Arabidopsis thaliana: one gene and its partners. The protein of the gene in region 1 interacts with the protein of each later gene in a pairwise test. Each region holds a gene or a part of one and is shown on either strand. Other genes may lie near its edges.

Region 1 (4,766 bases):
TTTCTCTGACTCAGGTTGGTTATACATAGTATTAGCCAAACCTCTGTAAGCTTTATGTGTGACAGTGTTTACTGGGCAATCTTGCTATGATTTCAAGATACACAATCTGCTCTCTTTTTTGAACTCTCAATATAAATTGATTTGGTCTGCTGGAGTTTATGATCATACAATCCAAGTTCCTGAAAGGATCCCATCTTCTGTCATGTTGGTAATTGCGACCTTACACTGATCACCTATCCGCTTTGAATATTCAAAGACCTATAAACATTCACTCTATAAAACTATGCAACCTGATGGCTAAAAATTACAACACACACAACACTCGAGTCTTGCGGACCTCAGGAAACCAATTTCAAAACCTGCAGTCTTCTTTCCCAAAATATTGCTTTTGGTAAGAATCTGAGAATGCCTTGCTTTGTGATCGATCTCTTGGAAGGAGTATCCCTGCCGATCTGAGTCATAAGATTATGTATAGGGCTGACTGCTGAGTAGAGCACTATTCTTCTGTTTCACTCTCTTGGCCGGGCAAGCCACAAGGAACTAAGAGCACGTAATCGAGATGAATAATCGTGTATAGCAAGAAGAGCACGAGCTGACTGACGTGTTGTTAATACTCGAAGCATCTGTTGTAGTGTTTGCAGCCTCAAGTTATCAGCCTGCCACCAAGAAATGCCCTATGAACTCCATAACAGACGGATTCATATATAAAATAAAATATTTATCTCTTTGTGACGATGAAAAGATATGGTATATCTCGATAACATCCACATTTCTAAAGTACCTGGCGTATGAATCCTTCGAGGGTGCCTAACTGCCCCATTGCCATGGCCATCTGACCCATGTAGCTCGCGACATTATCCGATGAACTGGAACCAAGAGTTCCACTGGATAAAGTATCAGCTAGGGATTGCTGTAAACTCTCCATCCCTTGAGATAAAGCATCTTCTGCCTGCTGCGACGTCTGCTGCAAGCTATTGATGCCCATTACCTGTCGTTCTGTCATGGGCTCTAGCTGATTCGCAAGAAGCTGTTGTGAAAACACTGCGACTCATTAAGTTGGCTGTTCATCAAAATCTCTCTATGGACTTGGAAAGAGCTTACCTTGAGAAGTTCGGATGAGCGGAACCCGCCAAGCCACAAGAAACATCGCTCAGCTGGTGTTTTCCACATTCCAGATAACAAGTGGAAGACATCATTCTTAGCTGCATTGCTCTTAATCCTGAAAAGCTCCTCATAGTGAGCCATCACTCCATCCACAATTATCCGGAGCTCAGTATCACCTGCATGAGCATTCAGGGCAGATCTCAGCTCGTTCATTTGCCTGTTCTTTTCTTCAAGCCATCGTGAGTGTTCTGCATCAAATGCCAAAGCCCCTGCAGAAAGGCAAGTATACTAGATCAAGAACAAACCCTTGCAGACCTAAGCTAACACCAGCGCAAACTATAAGAAACTTCAGTTTTGACATCACCATGACTTTAATTTCCCATCCAGATCATCACTGACTCTTGAAACCATTAACTCTAACAAGTGTAAGCATATTGCCATGAGATGACTTATGCTATCACCAATTCATCAACATATATGTATATATGCACTTATCTCACATAGAAATTTCAAATCAAAAGGATCAATCTCAAAACTAACAGAGAAGAAACAACCCACCATTGCCACCAGTAGAATGAGCTTGGTCTCCTGAACTTGAGATGAAAACTCCCTAAAATTGAAAAATATATATCCTTAAGTGACAAATACACTGTCATGAGTCATGACAAAGAATCTGATAAGAACCAGAATAGAAATTCTCTGTATGCCATCAACATCCGAATAAACAGACCAGAAGGACCTATTTCGAGAGAGTTACCAGCTACTTTTACCCAACTAAACTATGGATGACCCATAATTCTGTTACCTCCTCTACTTCAGCTAACCCAAGACTAGTACTAACTCGTAACTGACTGTTAGTTATAAGTTGAAGTAGCTTCAGCCTTTTATCTTCTTTATAAAGACATACATATCAGAATCAAAACAAATAAGAAAGTTAATAAACCTGCTGTCTTGCTCTTTGCAGCTCCTGCTCAAGTTGAGTCAGCTTTAATCGACTATTCTCCAGCTGCTGAACATACGCCTATGGAGGAAACAATAACATGCTTAAGGTAATGACAGATAGATATTCTTCTAGAGATATTACAAGGAAATAAGAGGAATATATAAGAAAAATCAAAACAAGAACAAAAGCAAAATATACATACCTTCTTCCTCAATCTGCTTTTTCTTGCTGCCTCACGATTTTGAGCAAGCCTACGAAGGGTCTATGGATCAAAACGAAAAGGAAACAAAACAGATTATGCATATGCGTAATATACACAGATGCTAGTTGATCCACAGAGATGAATCTATCACCTTTTGATCCAACTTATCCTTTGATCGATCACTGGAATCAGAGGCAGCAGCATGCATATGCCCTCTATCAGACTGCATGTAATCAACATCAGGAATTACTGTTTCATTCAAACTATGCATGTTTGATGAACATAAGCAAATGACTAGTCCTGTGGATTTGGCTATACCGGTAGAATGCCCCAAGTTTTACCAAGGGATTCCGGTACAAGCCTCCCAGGAGTGACATTGTAGAGATAATAAAACTATAAAATGATTAGAGCCAGATTACGAGCTAACCCCCAGATCTCTATGATCTGTGTCACCATCAGTTGAGACATCAGTCCTTGAACTGGTATCAGCCATACTAGTTTCTGTACTAATACTTGAGCAAACACTATCCACTTGTGCTCCCTTTTGCAATGATAACCTTTCACCTCTGGTGCAGAGTTTCACACTAGAGGGAGGAAAAGCTGCCAAGAGGAAAGAGAAAAGATGATTATGAAAGAAATTAACAGATAGCAGAGAGAGAGAACTGCATCAGTTTGGAATTTGGGCACACTCACAAGTATCAAGTTATTGGCTCACGGAAACCAGCTTAAGTCACACTGCAAGACAACGGTTCAAGTACTAACATGGACTGAAACAAAACAGCGGATTCAAAATCTAACACAAGCGAGAACTAAGCTTATAACACAAGCGAGAACTAAGCTTATAGCAGCTGATCACTCAAACCAATAACTCATCACCAAGGATTCAAAATCTATGACTCTTAACAGAATTCAACAGACACATGAAATTCAAAGCATACTAACATTTGAAATCCATAAGGATTCATCAAGATAATTCGATGGAATTTGGTTGCTGAAAACGTCATCAAATGAACAAAAAAAACTTGAAACTTTATAAGCTTCTGAAAGTCAACTAAGTCTTAATTTCCAAAGGCAAATCACAAAGTGAGAAAAAGTAAGCTTTCCAATGACTAAAGTAAAACAAAGAAGGAGGAAACTTCAAACAAAAGAAAAAGAAAAGAAAAAGGAAAGAAACAAAACCCAAAAAACAAAAGAGCTTGAGTTGCAGAAAGCAAGAAGCTCACCTGAAAAAAACTGAAATCTCCTGTCTGAGTAAAAGGTTGTCCGAAATCGGATTGAAAGAAGAAGAAGCAGCAGAGACACGATCCGTAATTACAATCTCTGAGACGTCGATTTGTCTACAAACCCACCATCCCAAAAAGAAACATCGACAAATTTAACGGGAATTTGCAAACTAACCCCCCATACTATTCTTGTTACCCCTAACGAACTCTATAGTCTTAGCTTTACAAATATTACCCCATACAAATTTATTGAACCGGTTCAAACTGTCAACCGGTCCGGTTTTCTAGGCAATGCTGAAATCATTAAACAATAATTTGTCCTATGTCATGTGCAATAAAATAACCTGCAAAGCATTTTACATGGGACTTTGTCCCTTCTGGCCTTCCACGTACATTCTCACGTCAAGTGCCCAAGTGTTTTCAGCTCAAACCCTCAATTTCAATTCGTTAACCAGTTGGCAGTTGGTAATTGAAGGAGAAAACAAACTCTAAACACCTTTACATCCAAAGGAAAACTAAACAGATTAATTGGAACTGGTTAGAGAGACTAACCCGAATTGTCTCGGGTATAGATATTGCAATTGACCGGTTTATAGAACCATACTCAACCGAAAAGATTCCATCTTTGTTTTGGGTCAACGCCTCTGCTTTTGAGTTTTGAGTATATATAAAAAATGTTAAAACTCAAAAACTAAAACAAGAATGGCTTCCTGGATATTCAAGTTGCTGCTGCTGCTGCAATGTGTGCTTGTGTTGATTCAACATGCTGATTCAAGTTCTATCATCAGATATCTTCCTGGTTTTGAAGGCCCTCTTCCATTCGAGCTCGAAACCGGGTTCTTTTCCTCTGCATTTTCATTTCCATATTACCCCTATAATGTATGTATGACGCTGTGTTCTGAGTTTTAGAGTTACATAATGAAGGTATATTGGTGTTGGTCAAAAAGAGGAAGATCAACTGTTCTACTACTTCATCAAATCTGAGAACAATCCAGAAGAAGACCCTCTTCTTGTCTGGTTAACTGGAGGACCTGGCTGCTCTTCTTTCTCTGGTCTTGTTTATGAGAATGGTAAAATAAAAATCTCTTAACTCTTTCTCATTTGTCGTCTCTGCATACTATTCAGTAACTTGTTTGAATTGAAAAACAAAAATCAGGGCCACTTGCTTTCAAGGTTGAGACTTACAATGGAAGTGTACCGACGTTGGTTTCTACCACATATTCATGGACTAAGGTAAAACACCAGTTTTGTACTCCTGATTACAAACCCAACTAATGAAACTCTTCTTCATCTT
Region 2 (4,987 bases), about 17 Mb from region 1:
GACCAAAATTTAGAGAACAATAATATTTGTTAGAAGATTTTTACTTATTCATATTCAACTTGTATAATATATATTATTGACGAATAAAAGCTCCTGAACTTAATTAACGTTTTTCTGGGTAATAAGTTTGCACGCCTCTCCTCTGTAACATAATCAATTATCATCATGGTCCATGGACATGAAGGTTTTATTTTTATTTTTTGGTTCGGTTAGAGAAACTTCATAATCATTTACGTTCTTTTCAAAATCCTAATTTTTATGAACATGTAGGAAATAAAGAGATTATGTAATGTGATGTAGGATAAAAAGTGGGGAAACAAGAGAAGAGACGGTCAGAAATGGACCAACGGTCAAACACCAGACCATCAAATCACATTCACTTAAGTTAGTACAGTGGAGACTTTCATTGGTTTTGCCTTAACGAATTAGGCCAATGTTCTTATCCATCACCGTCCTGTCCAGTTTACCATTTTATCCCATCTTTATACATAATTATATTAGCAATTTAATACGCATGCATATGGGTTCGAATAGTGATCATGGTTGGTCTGTTCTTTTTCTGCGATAAATGTGGTGAATGCTTTAAAAAAAAAAAAAAGTTTCATGGACGTGTCGTGCCGTGACGACTGACGATGGCACACATATAAATGCGACACACACGATAAAACATTGTAAATATGGTCGATCCAAACCAACAGGAGAAAAATAAATCGATTCAAACCAACAATTAAAAGAATAATAATAGAAATTACCCTAAAATATGACACTTATTAAATTTTTATTTCAAAAATACGATAATTAGTTTATTTTTCTAATAATACCACAAATTTTTATGTAAAATATTTTTATTCAATCAAAAGAAATTACAAATAAAATTAAAATATTATATTAAGTTTCCTATTTTCAATTTAAAGTTTGTATTTCCTCCATTTAAGTAGAGTTTTGGAAGAAAAACTCAAAAATGTGGTATTTAGAGAATTTCCCCAATTTTGAATGTTAAATTTTTTTGGTTGAGATCAATTAATTTGCTTAATTTCTCTATCATTTTACTGCACAATCTTTCGACTTCATCACCATTATACTAAAATGCACAATTATATTCTTATGGTATCTCTCTAACCTTAGTTTGCCCATTAAAAAAAAAAATGGCATCTCTCTAATCTCTAAACCACTTTTTTCATCGAAGTAGTCCTCATTTTATTAGCATTAGGTGACGCAGACACCCCATATATATGATGAAAAAAAAAAAATATATATATATACATGTTTTTATGTTATATAATATGATATCGTTGATTAAGTTTCACGTATGTCGTGAACCAAGCCAAAAAGACAGTTGCCAAAGGCTCTTTTTCATGATTTTATTTTCCTTGCAACTAATTTAGTTCGTGATTATGTATACGACTAAGTGTTACGTGACACACGGGGTTGATTTGGGTCCATAGTTAGTCGGTAGCTAATGATATTTACATATCTTATGATTATTAAAATACTTAAATCTCTCTCTATTTCTTTCTACTTTTATATTCACAAAACTAATCATTTCATCTTTTATATTCGATTGCCCCCAAATGGATACGGCCCATACTTCTATGCTTAACATACCCTTTTCTCACTTTGTCATTTCTCTCTAAACTCTAATTACTGATATGCTTCTGATGACAAAAAAAAATCAAATACTACAAAACTCCAAATGCTAGTGGCCAATAAATAAAAGCACAAACGTCGACATTAATCATTTTATTATAAATTTAATTCGAGACCCCCCGGTCCGCCCATTCAGATCTCTGTCTCTTTCTCTCACTATATCTATCTATCTACCCACAAACCAATCTTCTAAACACTATAGTCTCTCTCTCTCTTCTTCATCTTCTCCATAAGCTTCTAAAGATATATAAAAGCTTGTGACTCTTCTTCACTTAAAGAAATATTTGCTTACGAAAGAAAACCCTATTCTATATATCCTACAGCATACTAAAATCAAAGGGTACGACATTTTTTTCGTTCTTTTAAAACCCTAATTTGTTGTATCAAAGAAATCAACAAAGGAGCTATGAGCAATACTTTCGAAGAATCACTCAAATCTATGTCATTGGATTACCTAAACCTCTTAATCAACGGTCAAGCTTTCTCCGATGTCACTTTCAGCGTCGAAGGCCGTCTAGTCCACGCTCACCGTTGCATCCTCGCTGCTCGTAGCCTCTTCTTCCGCAAATTCTTCTGTGAATCTGATCCTTCGCAACCCGGAGCTGAACCCGCTAACCAAACCGGATCAGGAGCCAGAGCAGCCGCAGTAGGAGGAGTCATACCGGTTAACTCAGTCGGTTACGAAGTTTTCTTACTTCTACTTCAATTCTTGTACAGTGGTCAAGTCTCAATTGTACCACATAAGCACGAGCCAAGATCGAATTGTGGAGATAGAGGATGCTGGCACACGCATTGCACTGCAGCCGTCGATCTCTCTTTAGATATTTTAGCCGCCGCTCGCTACTTTGGCGTCGAGCAGCTCGCGTTGCTTACTCAGGTACTAATTATCTTTATTTAGGTTAATGATTCTTGTTCTTTGATCTTGATCTTGGTAAACTAATCTACGGATTTGTTTTAGTTTGGTTCGGTTGAGATGAATTCTGAAACTCTATATATTGATCATGATAAACATTTTTTTGTTGAAGACTATTAACAATAAACATATGTGGATATATAGATAGGAGTTGTTATTTTCTTGATTTCATGTGTAACTAAGCTTAAAGATTGCTTGCATTGCACGTAGTGCAACTTTCTTTCCAGATTTAGACGGCAATGGACTGATGTGTTTTGCACACCGAGAAATTTCCTTAAAATGGAATGATGCTTTTATTTTTTTAATATACATACTCTTTATTTAGTAGAAAATATCTTCTAAAATAGTAACTTGGAGAAAAAAACAGTGATTTTATTAGTAGTCCCAAAAATTGAGAATTGTCTTAATCATTCATTCTGCGATTTTGCATGATATTAGTAATCGCATATTTGTGAGGATCGCTGTTTCCGTTCAGCATTCCCGCAATTTCTCAAATGCAATGACCTAATTTAAAAGAATTTTATCATTTTATAGGCTTTTAGTGTAACTAGATTTTTCTCGCTTAAGCAATTTTGCCATTTCATTTTGTATTCTTCTCCATATATAATAATCTCTTGAACCATAGTCGCGTGAAACAACTCCTTTATAATGAAAATGATATTCATCCAATGAAATGGAAGTGGTGGATATATAGTGTCTCTAACTTCAATATTGTTTTGTCTTTAAAGCCAACTGTGTTTTTTTCCCTCACAGAAACATTTGACAAGTATGGTGGAGAAAGCCTCCATTGAAGATGTGATGAAAGTGCTCATAGCTTCAAGAAAGCAAGACATGCATCAATTATGGACTACTTGCTCTTACTTAATCGCCAAATCCGGTCTTCCACAAGAGATTCTAGCCAAACATCTCCCAATCGAACTTGTAGCCAAGATTGAGGAGCTCCGTCTCAAATCTTCAATGCCTCTCCGTTCACTAATGCCTCACCACCATGACCTAACCTCGACTTTAGACCTCGAAGACCAGAAGATCAGGAGGATGAGACGTGCATTGGACTCCTCTGATGTCGAGCTTGTGAAGCTAATGGTGATGGGAGAAGGACTCAATCTAGATGAGTCCCTAGCTTTGATTTACGCGGTTGAAAATTGTAGTAGAGAGGTTGTAAAGGCACTTCTTGAGCTTGGAGCAGCTGATGTGAACTATCCCGCGGGTCCCACAGGGAAAACCGCTCTTCACATTGCGGCTGAAATGGTGTCTCCGGACATGGTGGCTGTTTTACTCGACCACCACGCCGACCCTAACGTCCAGACAGTGGATGGAATCACTCCTCTCGACATCCTTCGAACCCTAACGTCAGATTTTTTGTTCAAGGGGGCAATTCCTGGATTGACTCACATTGAGCCCAATAAGCTTAGGCTTTGTCTCGAGCTGGTCCAGTCCGCGGCATTGGTTATATCACGCGAAGAAGGAAACAATAACAGTAACGATAACAACACAATGATCTACCCTAGGATGAAAGACGAACACACGAGCGGAAGTAGTTTGGATTCAAGATTGGTTTATCTGAATCTTGGTGCTACAAATCGTGATATTGGAGATGACAATAGCAATCAAAGGGAAGGAATGAATCTGCATCATCATCATCATGACCCATCAACGATGTATCATCACCACCACCACCATTTCTAGGTCTTTTTGTAGTCCCTATCATCCTTTTTTGATAACCATCATCCTTTAATTAAGATAAACATATTCAATATCTAATTAAATTGTTGTTATGGTATTCTTTTTTTCTCTATGTATATGGCCATGCGAACAAATTTAAACGTTAACTCCATGGAGTCATGGAGAGTGGAAGGGAACACAAACAAAAGGGTCATTTATATATAGATGGATAAAGATCTTGAGTTATATCTTGACATGTATAAGCTTGATTAATATTAGGTCGTTGGATTTACATTATTCAATTTTCTTATAATCAAACAATGCATTACAGTGATCTTGATCGTAGCATTTCCTTTCCTTTTGGGTAAAGTGAGGCTAAAAAAAACAATAATAGCAAAGAAAAAAAGCCAACATTTATGGAAGTGTCAATGTCATCACCACTACAATATGTACATTAGTGTATTCAAAGACAAACAACAAATGGTCGGAGCTTGTAACTTTGTAGCCATATGAAAAATACAAATCCTGCAATAATATAATAACATTACTTCTGCTCCGAAGGAAAAAAATAGTTTGGTGAAACTTGAAAATTGAAGAAGCTTTGTGGCTAAAATAAGATTTTCTCAAAACTAGAGGACTACTCTACAAAATTTTGAAGCACTGTATAGGTTTTGCAACCTAGTCCTTTAGAAGAGAGGAAATTCTCTTTGACTTGGTCAGTCATAAGTGTCTACAGTGTTACTCATGGTCATGGATTAGATTCGC
Region 3 (5,537 bases), on another chromosome or scaffold:
TTACTGATTGTTCTACTTCAGGGATAGCTAGATCGATTAGTTTGGGTCTTCAAGAGTATTCTGATTATGATAATGTGAATGAGATCAAGAGTGTTTCTGCATCATCTGTCTTTGAGTTTCAAAAGACTGAGAAGGAAAAAGTTAATCAAAGAATGCCTATTAGATCATTCTCTAAACCAGCTCCATCTAAATGGGATGATGCTCAGAAATGGATTGCTAGTCCTACGGCTAACCGACCGAAGACTGGACAGGTTCAGGTTCCGGGTTCGAAGAAAGGGCCTAGCTTTGGTCGTCAGTCTTCTATGAAGATTGTTGAAGTTGCTGAACATAGAGTGGTTGAAGAGCCTGATACAAAGAGAATAGATGTAAGCCAAGTGAAAAAGGATATGGGAAACAAGTTTGGTAGCTGGGAAGTTGATTCGTACACTACCGTGGATTCATATGTCAAACCGGTTCTTATGGTTGAGAACTCTATTGTAGAATCAGCAACTGAAGGTGGTGTTAGCTAGCTCTTTGAGTTATTCAGTTTGTATGCTCTATTTATCTTCTAAAGCCAATTTTACTTGCTTTCTTGCAGTTAATCTCAGCCGTCATGACTCGTCAGTCGCAACTGCGTTTGCTCAACCGCCTTCAACGGCAAGGTCTGTGTCAATGAGAGACATGGGAACTGAAATGACTCCTATAGCGAGCCAAGAACCTTCTAGAAACGGGACACCGATTAGGGCAACAACGCCAATACGAAGTCCTATATCTTCTGAACCTTCAAGTCCAGGCAGACAAGCATCAGCTTCTCCTATGAGTAACAAGGAACTGTCAGAGAAAGAGCTTCAAATGAAAACTAGGAGAGAGATAATGGTGTTGGGTACTCAACTTGGTAAATTTAACATTGCTGCTTGGGCTAGCAAGGAGGATGAAGATAAAGACGCATCCACATCATTAAAGACCAAAGCTTCTCTACAAACTTCTAAAAGTGTTTCTGAAGCTCGTGCTACAGCGTGGGAGGAAGCGGAAAAAGCTAAGCACATGGCTAGGTAGTCCAAAGTTGAATTGTTTGTCATAGTCCTCTAGTTATTCTCGAAACTTTAAGCTTATGATGAGTTCTGTAATCTCCAGGTTCAGACGCGAAGAGATGAAGATTCAAGCATGGGAGAATCATCAGAAGGCGAAATCTGAAGCCGAGATGAAGAAAACCGAGGTAAACTACACTAACATAGCTACGTAAGTTCAAGTCATGATTGTGAACAAACTTGGAAAAACATGAATGATGATGGTGGAGTTCTTGATATTGTAGGTTAAAGTTGAGAGGATTAAGGGACGAGCACAAGACCGGTTGATGAAGAAACTCGCTACAATCGAGCGCAAAGCAGAGGAAAAGCGAGCAGCGGCTGAAGCAAAGAAGGATCATCAGGCAGCTAAAACAGAGAAACAAGCTGAACAAATCCGAAGAACAGGCAAAGTACCTTCATTGTTGTTCTCTTGCTTTAGCTTTTGTTCTTAAATCCAATCCTATTGTGAATGTGATGTTGTTAATTCTCAAGAACACATCTTTCTATCATCATTTGTATAATAAAAGCTTTGAAAAACTTATTTCTTGTGATCTTTTAGTTGCTTTGTACATCTTCAAATTTTGGTTTTGAGAGATCTTCGAATTACTCGGTTCAAGATGTCCTTACCAAAGTGAAAACCAAAGTTTTGATTTTGGTTTGGATTTAATTTTGGTTAGATTTCCTTACCAATGTTTGATTGTAAAAGATCTACCAATCGGTTTACAATTTTGGTTCAAGTTCGGTTTAAATCACCTTATCATTGTCTATTTCACAACATTCCAAAGTCGCTGGTTCCATCAGAAGTTATAATATCAAGGCAAACAATATGGCTAACAAATAAACCAATAATAAATCCCCACGTGTCAGTATTTGATTGATTACAAATAAACCGAACTTGATCTATTGATATTTCCCATCACATAAGAAAAAAAAAGAGCCAAAAAAAAAAACTTTTAGGCTTAGCTTTAAAGGGCACACACACACAGTCGCGAGTTTCTCTCTGGTGCGCTCTTTGTGGCGGCTCGTCTTCTTCTTCTTCTTCCACGGGACTCTCTCTGAATCGGTGATTTTCGATCTTCCTAGGGTTTCGATCTGAAACCTTGCGATCTACTTGAAAGAGAGATTCAGAAATTTCCAAGTAATAATAATGTTTGCGCCTGCGACTCAACCGCAACAGCAACATGAGCAGAAGAAGCAATCAGAGACTGTTTCATCTGCTGAAGAAGATGCTTTGAAGTGGAACACCGATTGCGTTTACTTTCTCGCTTCTCCTTTAACCTGCAAGAAGGTAATTGATTTTTGATTATTGTTTCGCTTAGATCTTATCCAGTTTCTGCTTCAATTAGGGTTTTGGATTTGAGATCTCAAGTTTCTTTCACCCGATTTCAAGTTTCTCTGTGTTTTTGTGTCCCTCGAAGCTATCTATACATACTTCACTTCTCCATCTGCTTAATTTTGGTGCGAGATTTAGATCTGGTGATTTCGAACCTCGTGATTCTAAGTATTGTTGTTTCTTAGGGCTTCTTGTTAGCTAGATTGAAAATTACATATACAAAGCTTTATAAGGATGTTCTGATAAAGGAGATTTTCATGTTCTGTGAATATGATTTTTGCTCGATGTGTATGTTTATGCTGAAGAACGATTCTTATGGTTTCTTCCTTTTTTGCTTACAGGGACCTGAATGCGAGTATCGCCACAGTGAGTATGCGCGTATGAACCCGAGGGATTGCTATTATTGGTTGAATGGAAACTGTTTGAATCCCAAATGTGGATTTCGGCATCCTGTGAGTTTACTTTCTTCCTCAATAGATAGTCTCTGCTTGAGCTTCTTGAGTTGTATTATCAAAGTGTGCTTATGTTTGTGGTTTTGTTTTCTTACAGCCTTTGGAGGGATTGTTGGGAAATCAAGGAGGTGCTCCTGCTGTTTCTGTACAGCCAATACATGCAACCGCGCAGCATCCTAGTGTTGCAAAACAGCCTGTTCCATGTCTGTTCTTTCAAAAAGGCATGTGTATGAAAGGAGATATGTGTTCGTTCTTGCACACGCCGAATCCTGCTGCGTATAAAAAACAGCATCCTGTAGAAGCTAAGCCTGCTACTGATCCTCAGTGTTCTAAAAAGCCAATTGAAAATAACACTGAGGAGAAGAAACTTCCTGATGTTAATCTCTCAAAGGTGGTTAAAGGACATACTGACATATCGGCTGCACCAAGAGTCGCTTCTACTGGACTAAGGGATAGTAGAAGTGTAGAGGGATACATTCCAAACCATGTGGGATATGAGCCTGTTGTGCAGAGAAAGGGTCCAGGATTCCCTTCTTTTACTGAAGGAGGCCATTCTACTCAGTTGCTTCAGAAATATGGATCTGATGATAATAACAGTTTCCACAATGGTAAGGATGCAGATGACGTTTTAAGAGAGTCGTCTCCTGGGTTTGATGTTCTTGTGGATAATGAGGCTGGAGATTCTGAGTATTATCATGTTGAAGATCGATATGGACGTAGAAGTCAGGAGAGAGGGAACTCAGAGTATGACCCTGATTTCAGTGCAATTGCTGATGGTGATAAAGAAGCATTACGTGAACAACGTTTTGATTCATATGATCGGAGGGAAGACAGGGGATGGGGCCATCGTCGAGTTTCTTCTGAGAGAGAGGATCGTTTGGACAGAAGGGTTTACGCAGAAGATGAGAGATCAGAGAACATACTGGAATCGGATCTGAGATATCGTTTGGCTAAGCAGAGAAAAGGCAATGGTATGAGATTATCAGTAGGAGGCCATGACTATGCTGCTCCTGACTCTTCGATGGACAGAGGATATAGAGAGTCTCGTAGGGATACACCGAGGGAAAACTCCATTAGCAGTAGTCGTCTTCAGGGTAGAATTAAGCTTCGTGAGAGAAGCAATGGCGAAGAGGGTCACCACTTTGACAGGAGAAGTGAGAGGGGAAGGGACAGAAGCGAGTTACCTTCTCAGGGTAGACTCCGAGATAGAATTAAGGGTAGGTTAGAGGAAAACCATAGTGGTAATCAGGAAAGAGGTTTCGGGGCTCCATGGGCGAGAAGAAGAGAAATGGAAGACGAAAGAAAATCAGCTCCTAAAAGCAGCAGAGAGGAAAGTAAGCCAGAGCCATCTCTTGGGAAGAGGAAAAGCTTTGAAGAGGATCATCATAGTCATAAGCGATCAAGGGATTCATTTGCAGCTCCATTGCCTTTCAGTGAGATTCTCAAGAGAAAAAAAGCGGCCGCATCTGGTGGTAGCAGAAACAACAACAAGGACGAGACGATATCGAAAGAGGAAGCTGGAGATGAGATCAAACTCATAACCGAAGAGAAAACCGAGGTTGTCTCTGAACCCAAAGCTGAAGTAGAAGAAGAAGGAACGGTTATGGAGGAAGAAGAAATTGTTGGGGAGGAAGTGTATGAAGGAAATGAAGACGAGCAAGCTTATGAAGGCGATGAGCTAAACGGAGAGTACTATTACGAAGAAGGATATGAAGAAGAGGGAGGAGAATACGCTTACGAAGAAGGTGAAGAAGTAGTTTACGCGGCTGAGGAAGGAGAAGAAGAAGCAACAGAAGGAGGTGAAGGTGAGGGTGAAGAAGACATTGAGAAGAAGACCGTTGAGATGTTGTCATAAAAGAAGAAAGAGTAACACAGAAAAAAGCTTTTGCTCCTTTCCTCTCTCTCTCTCTCTCTGCTTAATGCAAATGGAGAGAAGAAGTCGTAGAGCAAATAATACGAGTCGCTTTTATCTTTGGCTTGGCACTGAGTTTTAGTCGCCATTTTTTCTTACTGTGATTTCTTAAATTGTAACACTAGAGAAGAAAGAAAAGAAACAATGGTACAAGTACACCATATCATATTTCTGAGTTTTACTGTTTTCTAATCTGTTTTGATATATTACTTTTTCCTCAAATTAAAAAGTATTTACAGTAAATAACTTATTTTAGCTTTTAACACCTTTTATCATTATTGTTTTTGCACTTGCATACCATGAATGATGTAATACCACTTTAGCATTATTGTTTTTGCCCTTTCCATAACATGAGTAATTATGTAACTGATTTCCACCAATCAACTTTAAAGTATTTACGAATTTAGTCGACCAATCTAATTAACCCTGAGTTAAAAAATGTTATGAGAAAAAGAAGACTGGGCCCAGAATTATAACTTTTGGGCCTATGTAGCCCGTTTCCAAAGGCCCATAAATCATTATTTTACAAACAAGAACAACAACAGGTAAAGAAATAGACTTGGTGGAAAAAAGCAACAAAACCCAGAGTTCTTCATAAACCCTACTTTCTTCTTCTTCTTCTCCTTCCTTCCTCTTCAGTAGAATAGTTGAATACCATAGAATACAATGTCTCTGAGTTAAACCATGAGGCTCATTCTATTCACTTTTAACTTTTTTCCTGAAAATGTTCTGTTCTCTTCGCAATTTTCTTCACGTTAATCGCAGATTCCCTCGCCATGTAAGCCCTTCTTCTT

The links. The genes of interacting proteins can lie anywhere in the genome.
Region 2: the proteins of TGA6 (region 1) and BOP1 interact in a two-hybrid assay, tested with the Arabidopsis thaliana proteins (one study listed by BioGRID).
Region 3: the proteins of TGA6 (region 1) and AT2G02160 interact in binary tests that used the Arabidopsis thaliana proteins (3 or more experiments, as listed by UniProt).

Annotation. Positions count from the first base shown.
Region 1 is NC_003074.8:3,904,327-3,909,092, reverse strand, and holds TGA6 (TGACG motif-binding factor 6), read right to left. Parts: upstream 2,743-4,766; coding exon 2,677-2,742; exon of another isoform or gene 2,643-2,676; coding exon 2,568-2,642; exon of another isoform or gene 2,521-2,567; coding exon of another isoform or gene 2,473-2,520; coding exon 2,401-2,472; intron 2,310-2,400; coding exon 2,250-2,309; intron 2,126-2,249; coding exon 2,048-2,125; intron 1,715-2,047; coding exon 1,663-1,714; exon of another isoform or gene 1,414-1,662; intron 1,374-1,413; coding exon 1,102-1,373; exon of another isoform or gene 1,028-1,101; coding exon 782-1,027; intron 657-781; coding exon 510-656; downstream 1-509. Other genes in the region: SCPL15 (serine carboxypeptidase-like 15), read left to right, coding at 4,175-4,308, 4,397-4,542, 4,629-4,705.
Region 2 is NC_003074.8:21,145,782-21,150,768, forward strand, and holds BOP1 (Ankyrin repeat family protein / BTB/POZ domain-containing protein), read left to right. Parts: upstream 1-1,833; 5' UTR 1,834-2,053; coding exon 2,054-2,524; intron 2,525-2,770; coding exon of another isoform or gene 2,771-2,848; exon of another isoform or gene 2,849-2,883; intron 2,884-3,313; coding exon 3,314-4,246; 3' UTR 4,247-4,457; downstream 4,458-4,987. Other genes in the region: SDP1-LIKE (sugar-dependent 1-like protein), read right to left, coding at 4,961-4,987. UniProt on the Arabidopsis thaliana protein: May act as a substrate-specific adapter of an E3 ubiquitin-protein ligase complex (CUL3-RBX1-BTB) which mediates the ubiquitination and subsequent proteasomal degradation of target proteins. Acts redundantly with BOP2.
Region 3 is NC_003071.7:552,556-558,092, reverse strand, and holds AT2G02160 (CCCH-type zinc finger family protein), read left to right. Parts: upstream 1-1,961; 5' UTR 1,962-2,193; coding exon 2,194-2,334; intron 2,335-2,720; coding exon 2,721-2,831; intron 2,832-2,928; coding exon 2,929-4,686; 3' UTR 4,687-5,007; downstream 5,008-5,537. Other genes in the region: AT2G02170 (Remorin family protein), read left to right, coding at 1-495, 578-1,031, 1,114-1,195, 1,292-1,498; EMB2794 (Tetratricopeptide repeat (TPR)-like superfamily protein), read left to right, coding at 5,468-5,537.